Macaca mulatta: one gene and its partners. The protein of the gene in region 7 purifies or fractionates together with the protein of the main gene of each other region. This does not show direct contact. Links are inferred from orthologs where the notes say so. Each region holds a gene or a part of one and is shown on either strand. Other genes may lie near its edges.

Region 1 (4,439 bases), on a different chromosome or scaffold from region 7:
CTAAAACGTTTATTTCTAAAAGTTACTACACTTTCAACTTCCTGTTTTATTTAGATAGCTCATCATGACCATTTCAGGTAACAAAACCCAACTTCCTTTTTACAAAGTGATTAAAAAAACTTCAGCAGTTATGAGAATAGATGATTTTACTAGCTTTTACATACATATTTATAAGGAAATTAGAGTCCATTCATTATCACCAAATTTTCTAAAGGTTTACTGCCTTTAGAAAATGTAACCAAGATAAAAAGCAATATTGAAATATATTTGGCAACAAAAAAACTATGCTAGAAGACGAAACTGGTCACAGATCTGCTATTAAAAAAACCAAGACTGGCCGGGCGCAGTGGCTCACGCCTGTTATCCCAGCACTTTGGGAAGCCAAGGCGGGCAGATCACGAGGTCAGGAGTTGGAGACCAGCCTGGCCAACATAGTGAAACCCTGTCTCTACTAACAATACAAAAAAATTAGCCAGGCGTGGTGACAGGCGCCTGTAATCCTAGCTACTCGAGAGGCTGAGGCAGGAGAATCGCTGGAACCAGAGAGGCAGAGGTTGCAGCGATCGCACCACTGCACATCACCCGGGGTGACAGAGCGAAACTCCAACTCAAAACAAAACAAAACAAAAAAAACCCAACACGTTAATGTTATTAAAACACTGCCAGTATTTAAAGACATCTTAATTGGCATTTTAAAAAATATACTTTCCCAAGTTTAATTAAAGGCATTCTAACCTGGTATCGAAGACAAAAATCCAACAACACTGGTCAATGTGTATCACGTAGGCACAATAAACTTAAAAGTTTATTATTTAAATTATTTGTGGAATTTTGACCGGGCGCGGTGGCTTACGCCTGTAAACCCAGCACTTAAGTGGCGGAGGCGGATGGACTTGAGCCCAAGAGTTTGAGACCTGCCTGGGCAACAAGACGAAATTCAGTCTCTACAAGAAATACAAAAATTAGCTTGACGTGTTGGCGGGTGCCTGTAATCCCAGCTACTTGGGAAGCTGAGGCAGGAGAATCATTTGAACTCGGGAGGCGGAAGTTGCAGTGAGCCCAGCGAGACTCCGTTTCAAAAAAAAAAAAAAAAAAATTTGTTTAGTTGTAACAGGATTTGTATTATAACAGGATTTTTGCTTAATTTTATTTGAATAGTAACTATTTGCCTTAGAACAATTTATTATAGATTGATTTCCAGCATAAGCTCATATATGTCTTTGTTTTTGTCCTAAATCTTATGTATGAAGATCAGTTTCCAAATAAGAGAAAATCTAATGCTGTTGTTCAATGGCTTGTTAAGCATTTCAAAATGGCATGCCATATGTAGGTATGATGTATCAAGTTATTCGGTGCAGAGGACTTATGGATCATAACAGTCCCCTCCCCATCCCAACTTCTTATTTAAAAAAACACCCTGGTAGATTTACAGAGCACTCAAGGGGACACATTTTCCAATAGCCACAGCAGGAGACAAATGTCATAATTCTTGTAAGTAAGTTGTCTCGTGAGGTCATTCTAAGTTCCACGTGCCCTAAAATCATGTACTTACTGAAAAGCCTGACAAAACTGTTATGAAACTGTGCAAATGTCAGAAGAAAAGTTATTCCACCTTAGAATGTGCTCTTGTATTTAAAACGCTTTTCAAGAAATAAGTATACAAACTGCACACTGACAAATTCAGCTAATCAAAGACTCCACAGTGGAGCACCAGAGAAGGCAGGACGCTTTGTCAAGTCTTGAACGTGTTAACATGCAGTTTATTATCTGTTACAGAAAATCTTTCTTGAGGTTAAGAAAATCCATCAGCTATTCTACATTTGTTAACAAGAAACAAAATTTTCAAAAATTATCGTTAAAAGGGTGTGTCTACAGGGAAAGTCTAGTGCTCAAATTGTGAAGCACATGCCCTGAGGCTCACAGATTTATTATAGCGAATCAGACAGGCGACAGTACTTGAGAAAAGTACTGCATGTGTAGTGAGGTGGACAACATTTGGGACCTCTCCTTGTCGAGGAGTCGTGACAGCAAAATCACTTCCTGAGGAAGGAGGAGCAAAAAGGAAGAGGCCATCCTGACCAGGAAGTGACTCGCCCTAAACTAACCCCAATTATATCTACAAATGGGGGGATGGGGGTTAGCACCAACTGCTAAAGGCGGTAAAATAACTGCTTTTTGATATGTAGCAACATAACCACCACCCACTCTCAAAATTACAGGAAAAAAGTCCACAGTCACGATCTAATAAAGGAAACGTCTGTTCCCTCGCAGGGAGGCCCCTGGGCTGTGCCTCAGGCCTGAGAGAAAAGGAGAGTCGAGGAACGAGGAACTGGGGCCACCGTGAGGCAGAGGAAAGCCCCGTAAGAGGGAAGCGTCCCGACTGCGGAGAGCGTATGTCAGCATTGACAAAGAAGCTTCTTTTTCCTGGGGACACTGCGAGGCTCCCAACGCAGCCGGGCCGAGCCCCAGTTCCCTGTCGGGGGAGGAGGTAAGAGAGAGAGGCGGACCCCTTACCTTCTCCTCATCCGACACACGATCATCGAAGTCGGCCATCTTGGGCTGTTCTGGCCCAGCCCGGGTGTGGGCGCTAGGCAGGCCGGGAAGAAAGCCGAGTGATGGAATCACCGCGGGGGCCGTCGGAAGGACCCGCCCGGAAACGCCGACCAAGAGGGCGCCATGTCAGTTATGCGCGGGAGTGACGTCTACTAGTGCCAGCGCCCGCGCCCGCGCCCCAGGAAGTAGGCTTTGCCTTCGGTGATTTAAAGTCTAATATCTTTCCCAATGAGTTACACTCATTTCCCATCCATCTAATGGGTGCTGGCAGCGTGTTTCGATTATTCTTGGCTCCTGGCCTCCATCCGACCAAGTCGCTCTTGCAGTTTTTCTGGTACCCGTTATCTCCACGACAGCCGAATCCAAAGCTCTAAGAGCTGCTCGGCCGCTGGAACGATCGGTGGCTTTTCCAACCCCGGGGGGCGGGGGTGTGAAAGGTGACCCTCATTTCGTTTGGAAGCGGTAATACTTCACTTTGGGGTCACATCTTAGTCCAGTTCCTCCAGAACAGGCGCTGCTGTCCGCCCCTTCCCTGCCCCACAAAGGAATAGGTATCCTCAATCTTGAGACACGCTCCTCCACCTTCGAAATCTTCTCGGTCCCGGTTCCCCAGGACTCAGCCTTCAGAGAGGCCAACTTCAGGTCCGCCACTATCCCAGGATTCCCGACTCCCGGTTTCCTGTCCTTCTCCCCTCCCAGCTCCTGGCTCCTGCGATAGCGGCAAGATGGCGGACGGTGGCGGCTCGGGTGAAGCCGCGGCTGCTAGAGCGTCTCCTGCACCTGTCCCCGGCCTAAACCCGACGTTGGGCTGGAGGGAGCGACTGCGAGCCGGGCTGGCGGGGACTGGGGTCTCGGTGTGGTTAGTGGCGGGGCTGGGGCTGCTTTACGCTCTGAGGATCCCTTTGAGGCTGTGTGAGAATTTGGCAGCGGGTGAGAGGACCAGACCTCCTGGGGCAGGGCGGGGGGCCAGGAGAGATGTCGGGGGCAAGAGCCAAAGGGCAAGAGATTCTCGGTAGTCCTAGAGGGCCTCTGAGGAGTCGATGATGAGCGATCAAGTGGGTTCTTTTTCTTTTGGACTGCAACCTTGCAGTTGATTGTCAAGCCTGCTGCCTCTACCGGCTCCTCCCTAGAACTCTTAAGGTCCGTCCTTTCTCTTATGTCCTCGTTTTTCCGTGGAAAAGCCACCTGACAAGCTATAAGCTTCAGGTATTAGGACAGAAGGGTGCATTCTCAGATTAGGATACGTAATTTATATTGGCTCCCCCGCCTCTGGTAGGATCCCATAAAGTCACTGCTTTGAGTGTCTCGCCGCCCAGCTGAGAGAACTCATATCCAGGCAACAAAGATGAGCACATCTGTAATTTAAAGATTTCAGAGAAAGAAAATGGCATGATTTTAATTGACGATTCTCTTGTTTTAAAATAGTTCTGTTAAGAAATAGTTGTCGTGATATTTTTGTCTGTTCTTTTAGGCTTATCTTGAGTAATGTAGTACAGGAAGTGAGAGAGCGCCACAAACAACTGTCGGTTTGCTAGTTCTTTCGACATCTGTAGAACACTTGCTATGTAGTCTGTGCTGAAAATACTAACACATGTAAGAAGTGATGATCCTGATGGATTCTCATATACTGTACTATTCTTTAGTTGTAGACGGGATAAAGTGTTTAGGGCCCAGATCCCCTTAGCATGTGATTATATTTCACTCAAGCTCTGAGCAGCAACCTCAGAACAAGATAGAAGTATTTCTGTTATATGATTCAGTACAGTGGTTGATTTTTCTGTAGCAGAAGGTAGCGAATGTCCCCTTTCCTGTTCAGAGATAACATGAAAGACTGTGAGGTAAAGTTCGGAAATATTTTGGCTTTTTTGGAGGGTAAGGTATCAAGT
Region 2 (3,000 bases), on a different chromosome or scaffold from region 7:
AAAACATAATTTCTAACAAAAAAAAAAAAAAAAAAAAAGAGGCAAGTACAGTATCTTAAGATGATACTATATTTGAAATTCCAAGCTAAAACCCTGAAACAAGAAGCTGGTAATATTTTGGGAAGCATTTTTTATTTTTGACTGGTCTTTCTGTGTGTAGGCCTCTGAATTCCCAGAGATATCCTTTGGTTGCAACTGACTTACTATTTAGTAGCATTATTTGATTTTTAAGTCATTTGATTTTTTTATCTGAGGAGATAACTTTATTATAAAAAAATTTTACTTGAAAAAATGTATCTTGGTAAGCAAATGTAAGGCTGTCACTTTTGCTTATTTGCATTAAATAAGCATGCTACACAGTTTTTCCATTTCAAAACATGGGTTATTTGATTATGCCAGAGTAGCTACAATCAGGAACTCACAAACGTTTGTACTTAATGTACTGAAAGGTCTTTCCTCACTTTTTAAAAGTTCTCTTACAGAACTGCAACTCTGTGAAGTACTATATTTATAAGCCAAAATTTTTAACAAAGAAGAAAAATTCCCATCATTCATTTAACCAAATACAGTAGTAAATTTTGTCTTTAAAATGGGAAGGCTTGTTATCATAGTTGCTTTTGTATTTGTTATACCTGTGGTTTTTGCTGTTTTTTTAGAAGTTGAAGGGAGTGTGCTCTCTCTGGGGGTTCAGTTAATTGCAGTTGAGTAGATCAATATTCAGCAATCATGTCTTTTAAAGCCCTTTCTGATCTTGAGATTTTATGATTCTATATTTACCTTTGCCTCTGCTTTTTCCTTCAGTGATAAGAGTGCAGGGATAATGTAGGGGTTGAGATGGGGAGTGAATTGGGCTAGTGGTTTAGGAGGTGATGGGCATTAAGTAGGAGTTGAAAACATGTTGTGGTTGATTCTAAGAGGGGCAATTGCTATTGGTGTCTGCTTTTTTGGTAGTTTTTTTTTTTTAATACTAAATACATGTTCTTAATTGTAATTATTTTTTAAATTAGGGGAAAAAAGGAAGAAAAAGATAAACCCAAAGATAAAAATAATTTTTGAAAGTCACCTTCTCATAGCTTCCTCCAAACAGACAATCCCTTAATTCTTAGAAATGGGCCAATATATAAATCATCAAAAAGATGATTGAGAATAGGTTTTGGAAAAGAACTCTGGAGGAGATAAGGTATTTTTCATGGGATTAGAACGTAAGGCTTATGTTATTTACTGGCTCATAAGAAGTTTCCTGAAAGATAGAATTTTTTTTGGTGATAAGATTGCATTTAAGGTAGATATTTTGTGTCCCATGGAGCTAGACAGTCTTTTTTATCTCTGGGTTCCCAGCCCCAAATATACCACCTAACCTATACTAGGTACTCAAAAATTGTTTCTTGAGCTTAACCCAGTACTCATTCTTGATGGAAATAAAAGCAAGATAATCCCGAGTAAAAGGAGTAGATGTTTTTATGAATAAAGGAATTCTTTTTCAGTCACTGTCCAAAATGTTCTCTTTCAGAAAGTGTACAATTTTTTTTTTTTTTTTTTTGCCTAGTATATTGGAATCACAAGCACTGACTTCGTATTTCAAAGTTGAAAGAAATGAGATTGATGTCCCACACAGTTGTAAAATGCCAAAAATAAGTAGTGCTGCCATGAATTAAAGGCCAGTGCTCTGAAAAGCTTCAGATCAAGGGTGGCTGTAATTGAAAGGGCCCAAATAAGTATTTAAAACCACCTCTCCTGGGAATGCTAAGATTTCTGAATATCAAATTGGCATTTTATGTTTGACAAGGTGACATTGTATAAGAAATGTGTTGTAAAACACAGCTGTATGATAGGAAAATGATTGAATGTAAATATTTCAAGATGCAGACCACTGTTCAAATGTTATCATAAATCTTTGCCATTGTTTTAGGGGATAACTCTTCATGCATATATGAGCTGAATTGATAGAGCCAGCTCTTCGAGAGGAAATCATCAGCACGTTTCTGCCTCTCTGCTACCACTAGTCTGATTCAACCACAAAAATATCTTATTAGGTTTTGCTATTATTATCATATGTTTATTATTATGTAAGTGGGGAAACCTTTTTTTGCAAATATACATCTGGCATTTGCCCTACTCATTGAGTGATCTGAAATGTCACTGTTAGATGAAATTAGAATAGCCTGGGACAGTTTGCACTCTCAAATCTTGAAAAGAAAAAAGCTTGAGTTATAAGATTAACTATCTTTCCATTCTTTGTAGGTTTGGAAGGTTTGCAGTTGCTGCTCTTCAGTCCAAAGTAGAACAGTATGAGCGTGAAACCAATCGCCTCAAGAAAGCCCTGGAACGAAGTGATAAGTATATAGAGGAACTAGAATCTCAAGTTGCACAGCTAAAAAATTCAAGTGAAGAGAAGGAAGCTATGAATTCCATTTGCCGGAGAGCACCTTCTGCAGATGGCAAAGGGAGCAAAGGCAGTGAGGAGGATGTGGCATCAAAGAATCAAGGTGATAGTGCCAGAAAGCAGCCTGGCTCATCCACCACCAGTTCTTCTCACCTAGCAAAGCCTTCCAGCAGCAGACTGTGTGACACCAGTTCTGCAAGGCAGGAAAGTACCAGCAAAGCAGAAATTAACTGTTCTAAGAACAAAGACCTATATCAAAAACAGGTAGAAATAATGTTAGATGTGACAGATACAAGTATGGATACTTATTTGGAAAGAGAATGGGGAAATAAACCAAGTGACTGTGTGCCCTACAAAGATGAAGAACTTTATGATCTTCCAGCTCCTTGTACTCCTTTGTCCCTTAGTTGCCTTCAGCTCAGTACTCCAGAAAATAGAGAGAGCTCTGTGGTCCAAGCAGGAGGTTCCAAAAAGCACTCAAACCATCTCAGAAAATTGGTGTTTGATGATTTTTGTGATTCTTCAAATGTTTCTAATAAAGATTCATCAGAAGATGATATAAGTAGAAGTGAAAATGAAAAGAAATCAGAATGTTTTTCTTCCCCAAAGACAGGATT
Region 3 (4,503 bases), on a different chromosome or scaffold from region 7:
GGCCCGCACCGTAGACACTCTACTCCTCGGTGAGCTGCGGTTTAACTTCCTTATAGCAGGTTGAGAGTGCAGGCCCCGTTTGGAGGGGAAGGCGGCGCCCCAACGGGTGTTTTCCCAGGAAGTGCTCCAAGAATGGAGAGGAAAGGGGAAAGGGGAAAGGGGAAGGCCAGGCGATGGGCGTTTCATTCATTGCTTCTTTCTCCCCATCCCCTCCTTCGTTCCCCGCCAACTTTCCCCTTTTCCCAGTCGGAGTTTGACGTCGGTCTCCTGGATACCAGGCAGCCAATCGCTTGGTTGCGAAGGGACCAGCGCGGCCAATCAGGCGTCGTTGCTACCTGTGAGTAGTATTTTTAGCTGAGAGGGACGCTCGATTCCACTCTCGATGTAATTTCGTGTATTTCTCTGGGGCAGGTTGTGAAAAAGGCACTTACCCGCCCCCCGCCACGAGTCCCTCTCTTACCCCACTCCCTAGGTACCCGCACATATTTCAGCAGAGAATGATTTTAAACGCACTCTACAGGCAGGCACCGCGTTTATTCTGTGCACCTGCGTTCCAGCAAGCCCTAGAAATGCACACATGCGTGTGTGTGTAGACATGGACACAGATACATACGCAATTTGGCCTCGTGTCGCCACACCCTGGGCACGGCGTGGGCTGGGACATTTGGAATAAACGGATCCGAGTCGCAGCCAGGGTCTCACCGGGAGGCCTGAGGCTGCGGAAGCAGTTAAACTGCCGGCGGGGCGGGAGCTGTGGCGGCCTCCCTTCCCCACCCCCAGCCCGGCTCCACGGCTTTGGGTTCTGCAGCTGCCACTGTCTGGGTGGCGGTTGGCCTAGGCCTTAGGGTGATTAATATTCAATTAATCGGGTGCACGAATCCCGGTCACAGTTTGCCCTTTCTCTACCCCGCCCTGGGGTGGGCTGGAGGCTGATTTAGTAGCTATTCCACGAGCGGGATCCTCCTTGGCTGCAGCCCCACGCGGAAAGGGCATTTTCTGGGTACCCTTGCCGCCCTCCCGGAGTCCTGGGCTCCTCCAGCCCCGGTTCTCCTTGGCCGCTTCGCCACCGGCTTCGCCCTCCTCCCCCTCTGCCCGGCGCTCTCCGCCTAAACCGGGCGTCAGCCGCCCTACCCCACCCCTTTCTCTCTTTGGCACGTCTCCCCCCACAGTCCCTTTCCAAACGTTCTCTTCATTCCGTCCCCAGTGCTCCGATTGTCGGTTCATTGGCCCTCCTGGAGCCCGGAGGGTGCGGCTTCCCCACCCCTGCGTCCACCGCGCGTCCGGACAGGGGCAGGCGGGACTTGGCCAATGGCGTCGGGGGGCAGGGCAGGGGCGGAGCCGGCCGGCGGGGGACCGGGGTGCGGGGCGGGGAGCGCGGGGAATGGCTGCGCCGCGGGAGCTGTGTGACGCTTGGCGGGCGCGCGCACCTCGACGGAGGGGGATGGGGGCGGGGAGGAGGCCATAAAACGAGAGGCGGGGCGCGCGCCGCGGCAGAAGGAGCGAAGCTCTGGCCCGGCGTGGAGCGGGCGCACTACGGGGACGCTGGGCCGGGCACCGGGCTGTGTGGAGAAGTGAGCGCGCTCGTCTGACCCCCGTGCCCGCCACCCCGAGCCACCATCGGCGAGTTCCCAAGGCCCGCCCGAGGCCTCCGTCCTCTGCCCTCAGCCCCGCAGCGGCGACGTCTTGCACTCGGCGAGCTCGCCGCTCCCGACCCTCCCGCGCCCCCGCCCTGTCGCGCTGCTCCCCGCCCAGCCGCGGGTCTGTGGTCCAAGCCGCCCCGAAGCAGCCCGTAAGTATCTCGGGGCGCCGGGCGGGGTTGGCAAGGAGACAGGAGCCCCGGGCCCAGGCGGCGGAGGAGGGGCTGCAGCGGCGTCGAGCTCCGGGCCCTCGGGAGCTCGGGGACGGCGGGGTCGCGGCCCTGGGCGCCGAGGGGGCAGCGCCGGGACCCGAGGGGAGCGGCTCCGAGGGGCCACCGACGCGTCGGACTCGGCTCGGGCAGTTGACCGGGGACGGGCGGCCCGGGGCGTGCTGACGGGAATCGGGGGGTTGGGGCGCCCAGGGGAGCGACGAGCTCGCGGTGGAACGCTGGGGTTCGAGGGGCCGGTGGCCGCGAGGCTGAAAATGGTGCCGGGGAACCGGTGCTCCCCCAGGCTCTGACCGGGTCCCAGGAGCCCGGGGCGGGTGCCGGGGGGCGGGGAGCGGCGGGTCGGGTTACGGCGGGGGAGGGGAGCGGCTGACCCGGCGCCCCGACCTGCTCGGTGCTGGGTGCCCAGCCGGGAGAGGTTGCTCTTCCATTTCCCGGGCCTTCCTCCTCCTCCTCCTCCTCCTCCTAGGAGGCTCGTACTCTCTTCCTCCTCCACCTCCACCTCCTCTTGCTGTTGCTGCTGCTGTAGCGCTTGGGCTCCGAGGGCTGTGAGCAGAAATCTAATGAGATCTAACTGGCTGTTTATGTAATTCTTCACACTCCTGCCTGTCTTAAGGCGTTGCTTTGTAACTACCTTCCACCGAGCCTGAATTTTGCTTGGCTGCACCTTCAAGCAATTGGGCTTAATCAGCTGCCTCTGCCGGCACTCAGGCTTTTGACTTGGAAAGTGTTTTTAGTTTGGGGGCAGCCAGGGATTCTTTTTCCCTTTGTTACCACGAATATGGAAAATAGAACAGACGAATTAAAACCAACTTGATTTTTAAACGTCCTTTTAAATCAACTTCAGTGTGCAAATAGATCCCTTTCGCAAATATCTTCTGTTTGCCCTTGATCTTTTCTTATCCCCACCCAGTGCTGATCCAGCAAACGTTTAAAGGTCGACCTTACCATACTTGCTTCTCCGGCTGTTACCGTGGGAGGGAGGGAGGGAGGGAGGACGGACGGAGGTTTTTAAAAATCAGACTAAAACTCAGAAACCCTGGCCTTTAAACAGAATAATCAATAGTTTTAATTTGTGTCGTTGCTTTTGTTATACTTGCTACCTAATAGGAATTTTCAGATTTAGAAAAATACACATTGAAAACAAAAGACCCAGAGAAGCTGGATTTTGTTATATTGTGCTCTTTATATACTTAAGGCCGAAACTATATAGAATAATTTGGTTCATAATTATTCACTAGGATGAAATTCATTTAGTACTCAGTGTCTTTAATTTTAGCATCATGTACTATGGAAATTAAAATGATTTTCCTAACTTACCAGATTTTTAAATGTCAATGACAGAGCAGATTTAAATAGTATATGTCCAAAGTAAACTAAAACGTGGATTCACTTCTAAGTTGGTGAATAACAATAAAAATTACTACCTAAAAGTGGCATCTATATATATGGGGATGGGGGGAGGATGCTGAGTACAATAAATATTCTTGTGAGAATTGAGGGGAGAAGAATACATGTTCTAGTGATATTTCTTCTTAGAACTCTATTCAGAAACAGGCTTTTAAAAACATTATTTCATCTGTAAATCTACATTTTCCTGTGTGATTTTAAACTTTAATCAACAATTTTCTATTTTATATTTTGTACTATTTACAGTTTTCAGGCTTTCTGTCCTAGTAGACATTTTCTTCTTCTCTTTATCCTTAGCAAACTAACACTGGATATTAGACATTTTTTAAGGTGAAATTACTTTGTGGGGGGAAAGGTCGTGGGACTTATATTACCTTTATCTTATTTGGATATGTTTGCTTTTGTTTTGTTTTAAGGAACAAGATCACTCAAGGTGAAGGATAATCTACTAATACCAGCACTTTGAATGAAAATTTGTTTCTCTGCCACAAACTGAACATTTTTTTTTTTTTTTTGGTGGGGGAGTTGAAACCTAATTTTGTGGCGTAGCAGCTATGCAGCTTGAAATCCAAGTAGCACTAAATTTTATTATTTCATATTTGTACAATAAGCTTCCCAGGAGACGTGTCAACATTTTTGGTGAAGAACTTGAAAGACTTCTTAAGAAGAAATATGAAGGGCACTGGTATCCTGAAAAGCCATACAAAGGATCGGGGTTTAGATGTATACACATAGGGGAGAAAGTGGACCCAGTGATTGAACAAGCATCCAAAGAGAGTGGTTTGGACATTGATGATGTTCGTGGCAATCTGCCACAGGATCTTAGTGTTTGGATCGACCCATTTGAGGTTTCTTACCAAATTGGTGAAAAGGGACCAGTGAAGGTGCTTTACGTGGATGATAATAATGAAAATGGATGTGAGTTGGATAAGGAGATCAAAAACAGCTTTAACCCAGAGGCCCAGGTTTTCATGCCCATAAGTGACCCAGCCTCATCAGTGTCCAGCTCTCCATCGCCTCCTTTTGGTCACTCTGCTGCTGTAAGCCCTACCTTCATGCCCCGGTCCACTCAGCCTTTAACCTTTACCACTGCCACTTTTGCTGCCACCAAGTTCGGCTCTACCAAAATGAAGAATAGCGGCCGTAGCAACAAGGTTGCACGTACTTCTCCTATCAACCTCGGCTTGAATGTGAATGACCTCTTGAAGCAGAAAGCCATCTCTTCCTCA
Region 4 (4,486 bases), on a different chromosome or scaffold from region 7:
TTGCAGTTGGCTAAGTCTTTTTTTAATCTATTGGTTTCTCCCTCCATCTCTCTTCTTTTTCTTCGTGCATTGTTGTTGTAGAAACTAGGTATGTTTGCTTCCAGAGTCTGGATTTTACTGATCCTATCAAATTACCACAGGGTCATTTAAAATGTTCTGCTACCCATTAGGTCAAAAATGAAACACAAAATTAAATCGCAGAATTTCTTAATAATAAAACAACATCGCTGAAACTATGTGGCACAGCTAAAGCAGTTATTAGAAGAAAAATAACAGAACTAAATAACTCTATCAGTAAAAAAAGCAAAGTTAAATGGATTACACCCATAAGTCAGAAAGCTTAAAAAAATCAAAATGTAAGACAAGAGGAAATCAGAAAGAAGATAAATGCAGAATTAATGTTTCATCATTTTAGGACTTGTTTTTACAAACTGCAGCTTAAGGCTCACCATTTGAGAACTAGGAGACCATTTCCTAATATGTAACAATAGCGACAACACAGCTAGGTAGCTGTCAGGGGCTGGGAGCCTTTTCTACACAAACTTTGCTCTGAATTTCAAAATACTAGCCTGCCTTGACACTTAGTGGAAATTCAGGGAGGGTGGCCTTAACTCAGGTTCTTCAGGGAAGTGTCCCGTTTCAGGGACACCGTGGGGTGGGGTTAGGGGACGGCTGTATTCCGCACATCTAGTTCTGGCTGGGCTTATGGCAAGTCTCAGTCCTCTGGAGTCACCTGAGTGACTGAGGGATGAGAGGCATTTCTGATCCCGTAATATACTTACATGGTTTTGCCATCTACCGGACTCCAGTTCAAATCTCAGCTGGCACAGTTACCTTTCACGTGGCCTTGAGCAAATCTCTCTGAGCTGAACTTTCCTCACCATAAATCTGGTAAAAATCTTTACCTTAAGGAAGTGTGGATCAAATGAGATACCAGGTGGAGCTAGTGCTCATAGAGTGGAAGCTAAGGTGATGAAACCCTTGATTCTCAAGTTCTGTGATTCCATGATGGAGATCCATGAGGGCTACCAGATGGGGAGTATCAACTAAAAGAAAGCAATCACGGAGTTCTTCCTGCCTTCTCTGGAGGATGTATTCCTATGAGCTGCCCTGAATGTTAAAAATAATACACCTGCCCCCAAAGTGCCTAGGACGCCTTTGTTGTCCACCTGCTCATCGTCCATCGGTTTCTGCAAGTGGACCAGTTACCTGCTCAGGAGCAAACGTTTCTATCACGATGCACCCTCTCCCAGGGATGGGCTCAGCCTGTGCTCTCCCTGCGACAATGTTGAACAGTGCCATCTGTCCCTACCCAGCGTCAGTCTCACTCAGAGGGCACAGGCTTGGAGTGTGGGAGGCACGCTCCCAGCTCACTTTGCTTTTCCCGCCCTGGAGGGGAATCCAGGATGTCTAACTAGTCTTCTGGCCCCGAGAGGGAGAGGTAGGGATAGGACCTTCCTTTAGTCCCCTCCCTAGTGGAACGAACGATTCTTTACGGTCATCTGTGGGGTTCTTTTCGTAAAGAAGCATCTGCAGGGTAAGAAGGAAAAAAATCCACCGTGCAAATACATCCCAGGCACATGCCTCCTGAGAAGTGGCCCCCTCCTCCCTCCGCCGTCCCCGGCACCTCCTCGGGCTTCGCCAGCTTCCTGCTCCTGGGAGCAGGCAGAGATCCCGGCGTGGGCAGACCCCTGCCACTGGCGTCCAGGCCCCGTCCGAAACTCACGCCCACGTCGGAGGAGACTCTCGGGATAACCAAGGTGCTCCCAAGACCCGGAGGGCAAGAAGAAAGAGCCCTGGCAAACAAAGGGCATGGGCCGGGAGCGCCGCAGCCCGGGGCGGGGGCACGGCGACCGCTAGGCCAGGGGGCGCCCGCCCCCAGCGCCCCACGCCCGGTGCCAGCGAGCCGAGGCGTGCATCTCCTTATATGGTCAAATGACACGGAGGGGGTTCTCGAGGGCGGGAGCCGCGCAGCGCTCCACTCGGCCGGCAGCGGAGCAGCAGCCACCAGCCGCCCGCGCCCGCCCGCGCCGTCCGGGAGTCCCCGGGCCGCTGCGGCGCCGTGAGTACCTCCAGCTCCCTGCGCCCCGGAGGGAGGCCGAGGGGCTTAGCCACCAGGACTCGGAAGAGGGGGCCGAATCCGGTGCGAGACCCGGGGAGAGGGGAGCAGATCCGGAGTTGGGGAGACCGGTGAGTGGAGAGGAGAGCTGTGGGTCGGAGAAGAACCCTGGGAGAGGGGAGCCGAACCGTGCGGAGAGAAGCCGGGAGAAAGGAAATGAGCTGTAGGGTAGACCCGGGAGAGGGGAGCAGATCCCTGGGGGCTGGGAGTGGGGAGACCACGGGAAGAGGGGAGCGGAGCAATGAGAGGGGGCTAGACCCTGGGGGCGCTGGAGCTCAGAGGAGCCCACGGACCCATCCCCAGAGGGGGGATTACAGCCCAAGTCCTCACCAGGTGGGGCACCGCCATGCGGGCAGGGGCTTGGCTAGCCTGGGTAAAGGCTGGCCGCGGGTCCCAGCCGGCGGCTGCGGGGAGGTGACGCTGTCCCCTTGCTTCAAGGCCCGACTCCGGAGCCGGTTGTCCTGGCACGGTGGTCTGCGCGGGGGTGTCCGGGCTATTTCCCTTCAGTAGAAATAAGTGGAGCTTGCAGTGTGACCTCACTCCTTGACTCGTGTAGACATTTAATAACTGAACCATTCGGTTAAAAAAAAAAGGCGTATTTTAAATGAAAAAGATTCTAAGTTTTTCTTAAGTTGCACTCGTGTGATATCTTAGCATACTAGAAATTGAGGGAAGAAAATACTGTTTTTCAGATTTTAAATGAATCAATCATATTTACTTTCATATCCCCAGTCAGGTTTTAATTGGAAGTAGGCTAACCCCGTTAGCTGAAATGTGTAGCTGGCCTCCAAGCAGCAGTGAACTTAGACAGCACTGAACTTAAGGCCCGCACTCCCTTCCACATATTTTGGAAGGTAATAAATCACAATTTGGGCTTAGAATCAGGAGAACTGTCTTCAAAACACAACTCCAAATACATCTCACATTTTTGGTGCTGACTCTACTAACGAATGTTTTATAATAATATATTAAAGAAAAGAGGTTTTGCACTATCCTGAAGATGTTTTAGACCAAAAAAAAAAAAAAAAAAATTTGCAGCAAGTCTTAGAAGTACAGGAATTCCTAGTCTATCAATTTAATTTTAATAAAATCAAACTCAAAGAACATTTCATTGTGCATTTATATAAAATTTTTTCAAGTGTTACTGGATTTAGATCACCCTCCAATTTAGAAGATCATCAATTGATACATAGAATTGTGTTTTCATGGTGTTTATTAGCCTGCCATGGTTTAAAATGCGTTTACACCATCATATGTCGATGAAGGCTAATGATGGGCTTACTAAAGACCAGAAACTGTTCTGGGCACATAGATTCTGTCTCATTTTAGCTCACGGTCTCACAAATAACCACAGGCAGATGCGGTAGGCTAGAGGATGCGGGGGACTGCATCTAGGCTGCCTGAATTTACATCCGGGTCCCTCAACCTGTGCAGCCTGGGCCAAATCACTTCATGTCGTGGTGTCTCGGTTTCCTTCACTGGGAAACAGTGACAATGATGTTGTCTCTTTGGCAGGGTTGTTAAAAAGTCTGGACATCATAGACAGTGTGTACCTATTTGACAGCCTCATTTTTACAGGTAAAGACACTGAAAACAGAGATCAAAGTAACTTTAACTCAGGGTTTCCCAGGCTGTAAATGGTAGCCCTGAGATCTGACCCCAGGCAGCTTAACTTGAGAACCTGAGTTCTAACCCTAAACACACCACGGGAGGAACATTTGAATATTTATTTATTTTTTAACATTTGAATATTTCTATGAGGCCTTATGCTGCATTCTTTGACCCAAGATTGCGTGTTAAGCCACTTCCAGTACTGAAAGATATTTAAATTGCAGTCAAAAACACCCAGTAGAATATTGCACACACACACACACAAATCAGACTAGATATCAGTTTACTCCCGTCCTGTGCTGAGGGCCAGTTATTCAGCCTCTGTGACTCAGGCAGCTTCCTTTGTCAGCACCGGGGCCTGAGTTGGTAAAGTTGGTAAGCGGCTCTCTGACTCAGATGCCCCGAGGTAAAAAGTTCCTTGAGCCTGGGTGAATGGAAATGTCAGACGTTGGGTTCTTCTGTGCGGTTTTATTATGAGAATTTGATCAAAGCCACATTTATTAAGTGTCCATCTCAGGTTGCGTCATACTGAAGTCGCTTCCTCAAGATGACCATCTGAAACAAAATGCATGTGCTTTCTCTAGGGGCTGAGAACTGTGTCTTCCTGGAGACTAGGCTGGCATTTTGACTTTGGGGTGAGTCAAATGAATTTCCTCTGTCATCCTAAATTGTGGATTTCAGTTTTAGCTCCCGTGATGATTACTTTCATGTGTCAACTTGACTGGGCCATGTGGTGCCCAAACATTCGGTCATATG
Region 5 (4,610 bases), on a different chromosome or scaffold from region 7:
TCTGGACCTGTGATTACATAATGCAGATCGTAGGAAAAGCTGCTTCCTCAGCCTCATTAGTCCAACCAGCTCCAGCTCACCTTCACTGGAAATTGTCATGATGCACATCACCAACACAGTTTCAGGAAAAATGAGTAAACATACCTTTTATTCACACTCTACAAAAAACCAATAACAAAACCCCATACAAAGTTATGCACTGGTTCTACATCAATACGAGCTTTCCAATGTTCTGATTATAAACTGGATGTGTTTGGTGTCAGCACAACTTAAACAAAAAGCAAAAAACAAAACCAAAACATCACAATGAAATCCTAGAAAAAACAAAAAACAAAAAACCCTCAAAGGAAAAAAACAGGTCCAAGACAAAGATTCAACATCAAAACCTTTTGGAGAATTTTCTAAAAGGAAAAAAAAAAAATCAATCATTTCCCAAACAACTCATTCTCTATATAAAAATTGTTAGTAACAGTCAATATTTTTTTTTCCTAATGCTCACATGGCGTCCTTTTGCTCCCCTGCCTGCAGTTGAAACAAAAGCAGTTTGACCAAACTCCTTCGGAATTCATTTGACTTTTGAGAGAAGAATTAATAAATGAGAACAGACCATGTACACGTTCACTTTGCAAAGTTAAAGCTGGTTTTCATCTCTATTCTACTAATGGCACTACGGGCAAAATAGAGCGTGTGATGTAACTTTTATCTTGGTTGACACACTAAAATGACTTAGTCATTTAAAAAATGATCTGAAGAATTGTCTTAGGGACCTGTTTTGAAAATACATCTAATTCATACTGCTTTATAAATGCAAAATTACTTCTTCTTAAAAAAGGATTAAAAAAAAATAACAAAAAGACTAAGGAATACACGGACAACAAAAAGAATTCACATGATAGTAGTATTCCGGGTGACAAGCAGCACACTGCAATGACACCGAGAAGCAGTGCTTGGATCTGGTGAGCAAAGATCCAGGGACTCACCCTATAACATGTTCCAAAATGTGATATTCAATGCTTCACAATGGGAAAAAGCCACAGCTCATACAAAAGCATTTTCATAAAATTCTCACAAATGTTAAACAGTATTTTAAAAATATAAAAGAGGATGCACAGATTTTCTCTGCATGCACAGGCAGTGCTTGGTGAGAACAAATTTAGGCAGGCACAGTGGAGATTGGACAGGAAGTGTCTCAAAAAAGAGTTAAGAAGCTGTACCTAAGCAGCTGTAGTTTTTTAACTTAAAAAAGTTAGATTTAAAAATATCAGAATGTACATATATCAACCATTACATTCAGTCCATAAATGTCTATAGATCATCACTGTTCAGCTTATCTGTCCTGGTAGATAGTTTTCATAAAAATTCATGAATAAGTTGCCTCTGGTCTGAAAACATCCTAAGGTTTAAGCAGATTTGTATGTAAAGAACCATGTTCTCAATTTAAAAATAAAGTAGTACAAAAGGGCTAACAAAACCCTAAGAGTGCAAACCACGAGCAGAGAAAGTCTGTTGCAGCTTCTTTTACAAGCTGGCCTTTGTAACACATGAAACAGGTTCTTTTTCTTTAAAAAAAATTTAGCCTTAGTTTACAATACAATCATTTCCAAATGATTTTTTTTTTAGTACAAAATTTCATAAATCAGGTCTTCTGTGGATCATATACAATCATAAAGGCTAAATTCAGATTCTATATTTTACAAACAAGTCTGAAAAAGGAGGGAGTAAAGTATGGAAGAATGGTCTCTGGATGTTACTACTGGCCTCAAAAAAGTAGTGCTACAGATTTCTGTGCAAAGAGAATATGCTGTTCAAACATTTTCCTATTTCAAGGCATGAAAATATTATATTGGATAGAAGAAATAGGAAAATTTCTTATAACAAATTAAAGATAGGTGCAAACACACCAATCCCTGTCTAGCAGTATAAAGCATATTGGGCTCAGAATTTGTCTGTTGTTAGCACCTGGCTTTCATACTATATCCTTATCAAATAATCAGATTGCAAATCCAAATCATTCTTAAGCAAACAAAAATCCTCAGTGGCCATACCTCACTCCCCTATGTTCAGATTTTCACAAGTTTACAAGTGAATCAAGGCTGTCCTCTGAAGGTGCTTGACTACCTCCTGCCAGGAAGGTGGATGCCGTTGACTTGGGGCAGGAAAGGCAGTAAGAGCTCCAGTTGTGCAAAAAGTGAGAAGTGGTCAGAGGGAATGAGGGGGTGCGGGCAGCCACTGATGTTATTCTCAACCAGCCAGTGGTGGTCCAGAGGGCCCAGGATGCCTAAGGTGTTCAGCTGAGGTTTAGAATAGAAAATGTAGTCGATTATACCCTGAAAAACAACAGAAAAAAAGATAAGCACCACATAAGACAACCCTAAAATCCTGAGTGCTTTCAAGACACGTCTTTACTGTCATGTTTGGTGAACAGAACAAAACAAGTGAAACTTACTAGCTTATAGGATGAGGTGTGTACTACATATACCAAATGGTCCCCTTGCAAAATGTCAAATCGAGCAGAATGAAGCATTCTTCTTATCTGGAACTTTAATAAGACCTAAAAGACCCTTCAGGATGCAGCCTCTGCTTCTCTTTCCTAGACTAATTTGTGCCACTTTCCCTGCTGCCGCACTAGCCTTTGGAGTTAGAAAGGGGTGAGGATGGGAGGGGAACCTATAGGTACCAAGTTCTTTCCTGCCCCAGGACACACACACACCCCGGACATGTGCTCCACCCAGCTCTTTCCTGCCCCAGGACAGACACACACACACTCTCTCTCTCTCTCCCCCGCCACCATTCTGCCTGGAACACTTTCTTCTACTTGTTATGAGGTCAATTCCTTCTTAATCTTTCAATGTCAAGTTCAACTGCTTTCCAAAGACCTTCCTGAATCCTGCTCCTACCTACTTAGCCACCCTACCTCCCACCACTGATTCACTTCCCTTGCTAATGGCCATCTCAAGGTGTAATTATCTATTCATCTGTGTGGTTGAGACTTGTCTCTCATCACACCTCAGTTCCACGAGAGCAGGACTGTCTCTACCTGACCCCCTTTTCTCTCAGCAGCACCCCGCCATGGCATCTAATAAACTGTTCCCATCTGATGGTTCTGCTCCTCTCCTCGACATGCTCTTGGCCAAATGTCCTGAAGGACAGTCAAGTATCTTCTTCCTGCCTCTGTATCAGCAACAGAAAGAGAAAGAAAACCCTAAGCTTTCCCACCCTCTGGTTATACCCATGCCTTCTCTTCAATGTCTCCTGAAGAATCTGAAAGGAAGGGGCACTTGAGGATCAACAGGGGTTTACTTTCTGTGCTCTAAGGTGCAAGAGCTCCTGAGATACTGTCTAAACTCTTATTTACACTCTGACAATCTAATCTAAATGACTACTTTTCCAGCAGCTTAGAAACAGAAAGCTGGGAGTTGAGAAAGCAGAAATGCAACAAGTAGTTTAAAAGGCAGCTGAGTCAGATGCGGTAGCTCCCGTCTATAATCCCAGCACTTTGGGAGGCTAAGGCAGGAGGACTGCTTGAGGCCAGGGGTTCAAGATCAGGCTGGGCAATATAGCAAGACCCCGTCTTTACAAAAAATTACCCCAAAAAATGATTTGGGTATGGTGGCGCACACCTGTAGTCCTAGTTAGTGGGGAAGCTGAGGCAAGAGGGTTGCCTGAGCCCAGGAGTTCGAGGCTGCAGTGTGTTATAATCACATTACTGTACTTCAGCCTAGGCAACAGAGTGAGACATCTCTTTTTAGAAGAAGGACAGCTGAACACAAGAAAGTGACAGCCCTAAACAATCGCTAATGTTAAAAGTGATGATAGGCCGGGCGCAGTGGCTCAAGCCTGTAATCCCAGCACTTTGGGAGGCCGAGACGGGCGGATCACAAGGTCAGGAGATCGAGACCATCCTGGCTAACACGGTGAAACCCCGTCTCTACTAAAAATACAAAAAACTAGCCGGGCGAGGTGGCGGCGCCTGTAGTCCCAGCTACTCGGGAGGCTGAGGCAGGAGAATGGCGTGAACCCGGGAGGCGGAGCTTGCAGTGAGCTGAGACCCGGCCACTGCACCCCAGCCTGGGCGACAGAGCGAGACTCCGTCTCAAAAAAAAAAAAAAAAAAAAAAAAAAAAAAAGTGATGATAGTCTGACCAGGGGCGATGGCTCACGCCTGTAATCCCAGCACTTTGGGAGACTAAGATGGGTGGATCGCATGAGGCCAGGAGTTCGAGACCAGCCTGGCCAACATGGTGAAACTCCGTCTCTACTAAAAATACAAAAATTAGCCAGGTGTGGTGGCAGGCGCCTGTAATCTCAGCTACTTGGGAGGCTGAGGTATAATAATCACTTGAACCTGGGTGGAGGTTGCACTGAGCTGAGATCGTGCCACTGCACTCCAGCCTGGGCAACAGGGTAAGATTCTCTGGGGGGTAAAAAAAGATGTATCTTAGAAACACTTATAAATGGCTAACATAAACCACATTTTGGCATGCAAGAGTTTAGTTTCAATTAAAATGTTAAGAGACGGAACGTCTTACCCCAAATGTCACCCAAATTAGTTACTATGGTGCTGTATATCTAGCTATTAGTAAGGAGAATATAAGAAACATAATTGCGGCC
Region 6 (4,327 bases), on a different chromosome or scaffold from region 7:
TTGGGAGGCAGAGAGGTATGAGCCGGGGTGGCTGCAGACCTAGGAAAAGAGAGAGAAGAGAAGGAAAAAAAGAGTTGGGCGTTGCCAGTAGGTTTAGCAGAGAGAAGTCTCCTATTTCTAGCAGAGGCAGAGTGTGGGACAGGAAGAGAGAACTTGGGGCAGGGGGTGGGGGGGTGGGGAGGGTGGAGGAGGTCAAGGGAGGTTCCCAGCAGCCATATCCTCAACTCTTCCCAGATCCTCCCCATTCTTATCTTCTAACCCCAAAGTCCTAGCGCTTCAGGGAGTCACTCACTGCTCCCTCCTCTGACAAACTCTCCAAGACACCCCACTTACAGTCCCCAGAGTGCCCCCTGAGTAGGACGGCCCCGCTGGAGGTGTCTACTCAAAGCAGAGCCAGAGAGTTGCAAAGTATGAAGACTCTGTGAATCACCTCACGGGAGACGGGAAAAACCCGCTCCTCCCCAACCTGGGCTCCGCCTCATTGCCTGCCTCCCCCTTCCCGCTCACCCTCCTTCCCTCTCTCCCTCCCTCCCAAAGCTGGGAGTGGTTCCTTCTCCCCCCTCTCCCTGTTCTCCCTCCACATCCCTGCCCCACTCTCCCCTCCCTCAGAGCTGTCTCATCCAAACACGGAAAAATAAGGAATAAAAAGTAAACATCTGGAATATATTTTTTTCTTTAATTTCTCAATCGCTTGGCTTCAGCTTGGAATTTGATGAGGTAAAGCCAGGGCCTAGTCCTGTTGCCATAGCAATGGCCTCCCACTGGATTTCCAGAGCCTAGCCAAGAGGAAGGAGGAGCCGGCCCAGGCCTGGGCTGGGAGAACGGGACAGGGCTTGAGAATATCCGGGGGGTGGAGTGACTTGGGGGAAAATTCCCTGGGGCTCCACCTTCCAAGAGAGTCAGGGCGGAACAGCCACAGCCTATGAAAAGGGGCTATGTGGGCTTCACTCACCAGCCTTGGGTTGGCTTTAAGGAGTTCTGAGGGGAACAGAAGAAATTAAACCAAGTGGCACAGCCCTGTGGTAGAAGCCTGCCACAGGAGCTTCAGGGTCTGATATACCAAGATTCAAGGCTGGATGGGTCTACCACTTTCTAGCCGTGTGACTTCTCTAAGCCTCAGTGTCTCCAACTGAAAAATGGGATTATTGAGACCCTGAGGGGGCTTACGTGATATAGTACATGAAAACTGCTTAGCACAATGACTAGTACATAATAAGGATTCAATAAATGTTGCCTATGATTACTGTGATTCCATTCAGTGTCACCAATGAGCTAATATCCTGATAAGCACCTCCTCCTCTTCCGTGACCCCAGGCTACCAGCATTCCCAGACCATTCCTTCACTCTCCCAGGCCCTAGTCCTGTCACCTGTTCTTCAGATACTCCACCACCTCCTCAGTTCCCATCCTGGCTCCTGAAGCACTCTCCCACCCACAAAAACATGGAGACCCTGGGGAATAGGGCCCTGCACCTCTCATGCAAGGGGGAAGTTTCCCTCACCCGGTGTGCAGAGCCCTGAGGACAACCCAACCCTCTCCAACCTGCAAGGGGCATTGCCTCACTTAAAACCACCCACTCCAGCTGGTCTGGGAAGACAGCACCAAATTCCAGTGCTCAACCTCTGCAAAATCCAACTCCTCTCCCCTAACGCTAACCCTGCCCCAGGGATTTCAAAGATGGGAAAGGGTATGAAGACAGCAGAGAAACCCAGTACTGTCAACCCACTGGTCAGTCAACCACCACGGAAGACTGCCCACTGTGGGTGTGTGAATAACTATGCAGAGCCAGGCCAAGTGTGGTGGGGGGAGGGGCACATGATAGAAAAAATAAAATTAAAACACAAGATTGTTTCCTTGTCCTTGAACATTATTACTAGGGACATAGTGTGGGTGGTTGGACATGGAAATGAATTGGCTCAGAATCAAAAAAATCCTTTCACCTGAGGTTCTGATGGGCCCCTCTGCGGTATGAGGGGCTGCAGCAATGAAGGCGGGCTCAGAGTCCCCAGGTGCGGAGGTGGCCACAGCAACTCAGAGACCCCAGCCAGGAGCCCCAGGTGAGCAAGGCCACCAAGGCTGTGGCCAGAAGCTGCAAAATCGCAGCGGATCCGAGCACTCCCCACCCCCAAAAGACCAGGAGGTAGAGGGTAGCGGGGTAGAGACGAACTGACCCCTGGCAGATAAGGCCTCCAGAAGGGCTGGGCAGCTCCAGCCCCGGAGGGGACTCGGCGCAGGCGGGGTCGCCCCTATGGACCGCAAGATCTCCAGCCGGATCGAAGGCTAGAGAGGTCGGCAGGGACAGCACGCAAACTGGTGGAAAGAGGGAGGGCCAACGGGAAGATGGAACAGCCCCGGGCAATGGGCTGTCTGGAGGGGCCCAGTGGGGAGCTCTGGACACAGAAGGGACAGCGGCAGCCGAAGAGGAGGAGGAGAAGAGGATGGAGGAGGAGGAGGGGACGGCGGTGGCGGCAGAAGCGGAGGACCTGTGAGCGGGCTGTGAAGCAGCCGGCGAACAGACGGTGGGCTGCAGACGTCGATCAGGTGGGGGCGGACTGGGGTGGCTGGGGGCGTGCCGAAGGAGCCGGGGGAGGGGGCTAGCGCGGCCCAGGGGAAGGGGAGGCAGGGGTCCCTCCAGCGGCTCTGCCCGCCCCCGGCCCCGCCCCAAGCCCTCGCCCCCTCCCCCCTTTCTTCTGGCTCCGCCAGCACGAGCTCCAGACCATGCGCCCTCCGCCCCCGCGCACACGCGCCAGCTTCCCCCGGGCCTCCAGCGTCCCCAGCGCCCCCGGCCCCTGCAAACTTTCCTGGTGACCCCCTCACCGCCACCACCTCAACCCGAGGTCTCGGCTGGAAAGCGCCCACTCCTTCCATGCCCCTCCCCCGCCCCATCCCGGACCCCGCCCCCTCCTTCGCCCGCCCGCCCCCGCGCACTCACGCGCTCGCCCGGGATCCGGCTCCGCTCGGCTCGGCGCCCCGACGCCAGTCCCCGCCGCCGCCGCCGCTGCTACCGCCGCCGCCGCCGCCGTCACCGCGGGACGAAGCCACTGTGAGCCCCGGCGGGGCCCCGCCCCTAGCTCCGCCCAGGCCCACGCCCCCAGGGCGCTCATGAATATGCATGAGCCGGTGGAACCCGGGAGTTGGAAGCCCGTGCAGAATTCGTCCCACCGTCGGCAAACAGGCGCGGCCCAGTACTCAATTATTCATGAGGCTTGCAGATGAGGGGCCCGCCCCAGGCTCAGACCGGGGCGAAACTGACGCAATTCAGCCGGGGGCGCTCGGGTAAAATGGACACCGAGACGACTGCCTAGAGAGACTGCCTTGGCGGCCCCTCCCGGGCCCCGCCGCCTGCACGGAGTGCAGTACCATCGAGCTACGCCGGCAAGAAGGTAGCAGCCGGCGGACTGGAGCGGCTTCCTGGTACAGCCACCTGAGTGCTGAGAACGCGCGCAACGTGGCCACCCCTCCTGTGTCAATTCAGATTTAGAGCCACGGTGAGGAAGTCTGGCAGCTCTGCTTTCCTCAGTAGTGACCTTTATCTCCTTTCAGGCCCCGTCTCAGACGTGGGTTCCTCCCTACACTGAAGTTTGTATCCCCCCTTCTTCCCGTAAGAACAAAAGCTGCACATATACTCCGTACTTTTCTTGCACCCCCCCACCAGGCTGCAACCACCACCACCCTACACACACGCTCATCCTCCCCGACTCTCCAGGCTCACGTTTCCACTCCCCCGGCTGCGGGAAGGACAGTCAATCCTGATTTCATTATCTAAAGCCTTGGAAGACCCTTGACTCATAGGTAAGGATGGGGCCAAGAGCTGCCTCCCCCTAGCTTGGTTGGCTAATGGAGTGTAACCGGGAGAGACTTCCTAATCACATCAGCTCTCATTTCTAGATTCTCAGGTGGCCCAACCGGGCAGAGGCGGGTGAAAACCAATGCTTCTCCAGCCGGGAACAGAACAGGATGTGCCTCGAGACTTGCTTCCCGGCTGGCCAGGCTCTGCCTAGTCTGACCAGGGCAGTAACCACCACCAGTAAAAGTAGGAGCAACAAACCAGGGCTACAAAGAAAGCATAAAGACATGGTTTCCAAAGTCAGTTCCCTTTATTAAATCATTTTCACAGACCAGAAATACAAAATAAAAGTAGAAATAGGCCCCAGGTAGGAGCTACAGGCCTGGCCTCACATGACCCCTGCTCCAGCAACTTGAACAGGACCAGCAGCAGCTACATCCTTAATTAAGGTCGGGAAAGTAAGATGAGGATTTTGATCCTGCATTGCCCTGCCTCCCACCCTCTCTCTCCCCAAATTATAAACAGCCATCCTTGGGAAGCA
Region 7 (3,851 bases):
TGAACAGCTTGTCCATTAAACTTGGATTTTAAAAAAAGACATATATATATTATTGCGTATCATAGGGTATACCGAATACTTTTCCCTGTGTGGAGCCCAGTTTTCTGTTACCCAAATTTTCCATTGGTTAACTTTTAAGTAGAAACTGGTAGTTTTTGGTTAACCTTGATTTACAAAATCATGAGTGTGTTTGCCAGTAGGAATTGGATTGTCTTATTTAAACAAGGTGTTGACTTTGTCCTCCCCAACCCCCCAGATTCCCTTGTTTCAGGCCCATCCGCAGTTGAAGCAGTGTGTGCGTCAGGCAATTGAACGGGCTGTCCAGGAGCTGGTCCATCCTGTGGTTGATCGATCAATTAAGATTGCCATGACTACTTGTGAGCAAATAGTCAGGAAGGATTTTGCTCTGGATTCGGAGGAATCTCGAATGCGAATAGCAGCTCATCACATGATGCGTAACTTGACAGCTGGAATGGCAATGATTACATGCAGGGAACCTTTGCTCATGAGCATATCTACCAACCTAAAAAACAGTTTTGCCTCAGCCCTTCGTGTAAGTTGGCTATTTCGTTGATATAGGTACAAAACATATTACTACTTGTCTGTAATAAGTTTTTTCTTTGCCTGTATATGGCACTGGGCATTACCACTTATTGTTAATAATCACTATATTTGTTTGATAACTTCCATCATTTTGGATTGTAATTCTGTGAGGCAAAGCATCATGGCTGTGCTTTTTTTTTTCTTTTTTTGCTGTTGTATCCTCAACACAATGTTTGACAGATAGTAGATACCCATATATTTATTGGTTTAAATAAATTAAGATTTAAAAAGGAAATGTGAAATCTAACAATACTCATTTCTGTTAATCAGGAAGGATGAAAGCTGTTTGAGAAGGCTGATACAAAATGACTTAAAGTGATGTTGCATGTGCACACACTTTTCAGATAATTCACTTACTAGTTTTGAGTCTCAGATATCATGGTTATTCAGGTATCATGATTAGTAATTTGTTTACTGCTTACTGATTTTTTTTGGGGTTTTTGCCTTTTTTTTTTAATGTTTGTTTCATGAGACAGGGTCTCACTCTGTAGCTTAGGCTAGAATGCAGTGGTGCAGTCTTGGCTCACTGCATCCTCCACCTCTGAGGTTCAACTGATTCTCATGCTTCAGCCTCCCAAGTAACTGGGATTACAGACATGTGCTACCACGCCCAGCTAATTTATGTATTTTTTTAGTAGAGAAGTGCTTTCACCATGTTGGCTAGGCTGGTCTCGAACTCCTGGCCTCAAGTGGTCTACCTGCCTCGGCCTCCCAAAGTACTGGGATTACAGGTGTGAGCCACCATGTCTGGCCTGCTTTACTGATTTTAAGACATGTTCACCATAAACTGATAAGGTGTCTAGGATATTTTTGTCTTAAAAGTGAGAAAGCTGTTAAGACTATTTCAAGATCACAGCTGATTGATTCATAAGTAGAGTCAGAACTTAAAATGCATTTGCCAAATGCACTGCATTTTCTACTATCCTGTCTGTCCACATTAACTTTCAAGTCTTTTTTTTTCTATTCCCCCCACTCCCCCACCTCCATTAATAGACTGCTTCCCCACAACAAAGGGAAATGATGGATCAGGCAGCTGCTCAGTTAGCTCAGGACAATTGTGAGTTGGCTTGCTGTTTTATTCAGAAGACTGCAGTAGAAAAAGCAGGCCCTGAGATGGACAAGAGATTAGCAACTGTAAGTGTTTAGAATTTGCCTTTTAAGATTTTATTTCTTAATTTAGGGAAGTGCCTTATAACAAGAACCTCAGTGACTTTTTTTGTTTGCAGGAATTTGAGCTGAGAAAACATGCTAGGCAAGAAGGACGCAGATACTGTGATCCTGTTGTTTTAACATATCAAGCCGAACGGATGCCAGAGCAAATCAGGCTGAAAGTGAGAATTGGGGCCGTGTCTCTCCCCATTCTGTCTTTGTTTTATTTTTAATGTTCTTGTTGATTGAACTCCTTACTGGGACTAGGACAGCAGGGTTAAATGTTGTTTATGAGAAAACATCTTAACTTGTTAGCATTTCACTTAATGGCTGCCTGTGGAGCAGGTATGGAAATAGCTCTAAATTCCCTTGCTCCTCCAAAGTTGTTGAAATGCTACTACTGTAAGGAGTTCATGTGCCTTAACTAGTTTTCATGTTTCCCACCTTGGGCTTCTCACATTAATGGTTGCTTATTGTTCCCAGTGAGACAGTGATAAATCTGATAATACTTACCAACTCCAAGGGAGAATTGCACTGGCATCGTCCCATGTGAGGCACTTTCCAAGAGAAACTTTCAGTTAATTTATAAATGAGGTGACTCTTAGCAGGATTCAGGGAAATGAGAAGCCCTCTTCTGAACTGCATTTGTTAGTGTGCATGTATGCTTAATCATACTGTCACATGTTGTAATGACTCTTGTGTCCCTGAGCTTACTCACATGCAGACTTTCCACTTTCAGAACAGTTTATTTTGATTATTGAGTGAATTCTGTCAAAATAGATTTTCTTCTTTCAAGGTTGGTGGTGTGGATCCAAAGCAGTTGGCTGTTTACGAAGAGTTTGCACGCAATGTTCCTGGCTTCTTGCCTACAAATGACTTAAGTCAGCCCACAGGATTTTTAGCCCAGCCCATGAAGGTAAATGTGTTTTAGATTAAATTGAGTGTTTTGCCAATTAATTTAAATGTTTTTGACATTTAATATATGTTTTTGACTTGCTTCCTGGGAGAATAATTTACAGGGGAACCTATAGTTTTTGAGTTGTAGGTATTCTTTGTGTCCAATTAAGTATGACATACAGGGGATTAAAGAAAAAATTGACGTGGGTGTGGGTGATTTATCTTTAAGGTTTGGCCTAATTAGAGGAATTTGCATGGTAACATAATAACTTTTGGGTTTTTATATTTAAATTTTATTATTTATTTTTTTGAGACAAGGTCTTTCTCTGTCACCCAGGCTGGAGTGCAGTGGCGCAATCTCAGCTCATTGCAACCTCCACCTCCCAGGCTCAAGCGATCCTCCCACCTCAGCCTCTTGAGGAGCTAGGACTACAGGCGTGCACCACCTTGCTGAGCTAATTTTTGTATTTTTTATAAAGATGGGGTTTTGCCATGTTACACAGGCTAGACTCAAATTCCTGACCTCAAGTGATTGCCCATCTCAGCCTCGTAAAGTGCTAAGATTACAGGCCTGAGCCATTATGCCCAGACTTCCCATTTTTTAAATAAAAGAATTTTCTAAAATTTTCAAAGGTGTTTACAGAAAACTTGGAAATATAGGGAAAAACATTTTCCAGCTGAACCAGTTGAGAGTAAGTTGCTGACCTGATAGCCCTATCACTCCTGAATCCTTTGGTTTGTATTTCTTATAAAAAAACCTTTTTCCTATGTGACCACAGCACAACCATTAAGGTCAGAAATGAATACTAATACCTTACTCCATGTAATTCATAGACCTCATTCAAGTTTCACCAAGTATCCCAATAATGTTTAGTAAAAGACCTGTTTTAGAATCACACATTTCTTCAGTTGTCATATTTTTAAAGTCTCCCTCAGTTCTAGCTGGTATAGGTAACTCAGTTTTTCCTTATCTTTCATGACCATAACACTTCTGAAGATTATAGGCTAATTATTTTCTTTTTTTCTTTTCTTTTTTTTTTTTTGAGACGGAGTCTTGCTCTGTCGCCCAGGCTGGGGTGCAGTGGCCGTATCTCAGCTCACTGCAAGCTCCGCCTCCCAGGTTTACGCCATTCTCCTACCTCAGCCTCCCGAGTAGCTGGGACTACAGGCGCCCGCCAACCCGCCCGGCTAGTTTTTTTTGC

Evidence for each region.
Region 1: the proteins of CNOT1 (region 7) and CAPZA1 purify together in Homo sapiens (affinity purification with mass spectrometry; 3 studies listed by BioGRID and IntAct, with this or other methods). This does not show direct contact. The link is inferred for Macaca mulatta from reciprocal best matches to the Homo sapiens genes CNOT1 and CAPZA1.
Region 2: the proteins of CNOT1 (region 7) and OBI1 purify together in Homo sapiens (affinity purification with mass spectrometry; 3 studies listed by BioGRID and IntAct, with this or other methods). This does not show direct contact. The link is inferred for Macaca mulatta from reciprocal best matches to the Homo sapiens genes CNOT1 and OBI1.
Region 3: the proteins of CNOT1 (region 7) and TOB1 purify together in Homo sapiens (co-immunoprecipitation; 3 studies listed by BioGRID and IntAct, counting the BioPlex papers as one, with this or other methods). This does not show direct contact. The link is inferred for Macaca mulatta from reciprocal best matches to the Homo sapiens genes CNOT1 and TOB1.
Region 4: the proteins of CNOT1 (region 7) and FHL2 purify together in Homo sapiens (affinity purification with mass spectrometry; 3 studies listed by BioGRID and IntAct, with this or other methods). This does not show direct contact. The link is inferred for Macaca mulatta from reciprocal best matches to the Homo sapiens genes CNOT1 and FHL2.
Region 5: the proteins of CNOT1 (region 7) and CNOT6 purify together in Homo sapiens (affinity purification with mass spectrometry; 5 studies listed by BioGRID and IntAct, with this or other methods). This does not show direct contact. The link is inferred for Macaca mulatta from reciprocal best matches to the Homo sapiens genes CNOT1 and CNOT6.
Region 6: the proteins of CNOT1 (region 7) and TNKS1BP1 purify together in Homo sapiens (affinity purification with mass spectrometry; 5 studies listed by BioGRID and IntAct, with this or other methods). This does not show direct contact. The link is inferred for Macaca mulatta from reciprocal best matches to the Homo sapiens genes CNOT1 and TNKS1BP1.

What each region holds. Positions count from the first base shown.
Region 1 is NC_133406.1:127,634,763-127,639,201, forward strand, and holds the start of CAPZA1 (F-actin-capping protein subunit alpha-1), read right to left. Parts: upstream 2,949-4,439; 5' UTR 2,739-2,948; coding exon of another isoform or gene 2,738-2,738; 5' UTR 2,554-2,737; coding exon 2,515-2,553; intron 2,489-2,514; exon of another isoform or gene 2,124-2,488; intron 1-2,123. Other genes in the region: ST7L (suppressor of tumorigenicity 7 protein-like), read left to right, coding at 3,279-3,483. UniProt on the Homo sapiens protein: F-actin-capping proteins bind in a Ca(2+)-independent manner to the fast growing ends of actin filaments (barbed end) thereby blocking the exchange of subunits at these ends.
Region 2 is NC_133422.1:73,436,892-73,439,891, reverse strand, and holds part of OBI1 (ORC ubiquitin ligase 1), read left to right. Parts: intron 1-2,241; coding exon 2,242-3,000. UniProt on the Homo sapiens protein: E3 ubiquitin ligase essential for DNA replication origin activation during S phase.
Region 3 is NC_133421.1:59,144,451-59,148,953, forward strand, and holds the start of TOB1 (protein Tob1), read left to right. Parts: upstream 1-1,492; 5' UTR 1,493-1,789; intron 1,790-3,690; 5' UTR 3,691-3,828; coding exon 3,829-4,503. UniProt on the Homo sapiens protein: Anti-proliferative protein; the function is mediated by association with deadenylase subunits of the CCR4-NOT complex. Mediates CPEB3-accelerated mRNA deadenylation by binding to CPEB3 and recruiting CNOT7 which leads to target mRNA deadenylation and decay.
Region 4 is NC_133418.1:13,500,716-13,505,201, reverse strand, and holds the start of FHL2 (four and a half LIM domains protein 2), read left to right. Parts: upstream 1-1,638; 5' UTR 1,639-1,935; coding exon 1,936-2,190; intron 2,191-4,314; coding exon 4,315-4,365; intron 4,366-4,486. UniProt on the Homo sapiens protein: May function as a molecular transmitter linking various signaling pathways to transcriptional regulation. Negatively regulates the transcriptional repressor E4F1 and may function in cell growth.
Region 5 is NC_133411.1:189,590,899-189,595,508, reverse strand, and holds the end of CNOT6 (CCR4-NOT transcription complex subunit 6), read right to left. Parts: intron 2,328-4,610; coding exon 2,115-2,327; 3' UTR 598-2,114; downstream 1-597. UniProt on the Homo sapiens protein: Poly(A) nuclease with 3'-5' RNase activity.
Region 6 is NC_133419.1:16,081,419-16,085,745, reverse strand, and holds the start of TNKS1BP1 (182 kDa tankyrase-1-binding protein), read right to left. Parts: upstream 3,045-4,327; 5' UTR 2,932-3,044; intron 509-2,931; exon of another isoform or gene 334-508; intron 40-333; 5' UTR 1-39.
Region 7 is NC_133425.1:54,153,856-54,157,706, reverse strand, and holds part of CNOT1 (CCR4-NOT transcription complex subunit 1), read left to right. Parts: intron 1-256; coding exon 257-553; intron 554-1,596; coding exon 1,597-1,737; intron 1,738-1,829; coding exon 1,830-1,934; intron 1,935-2,548; coding exon 2,549-2,668; intron 2,669-3,851.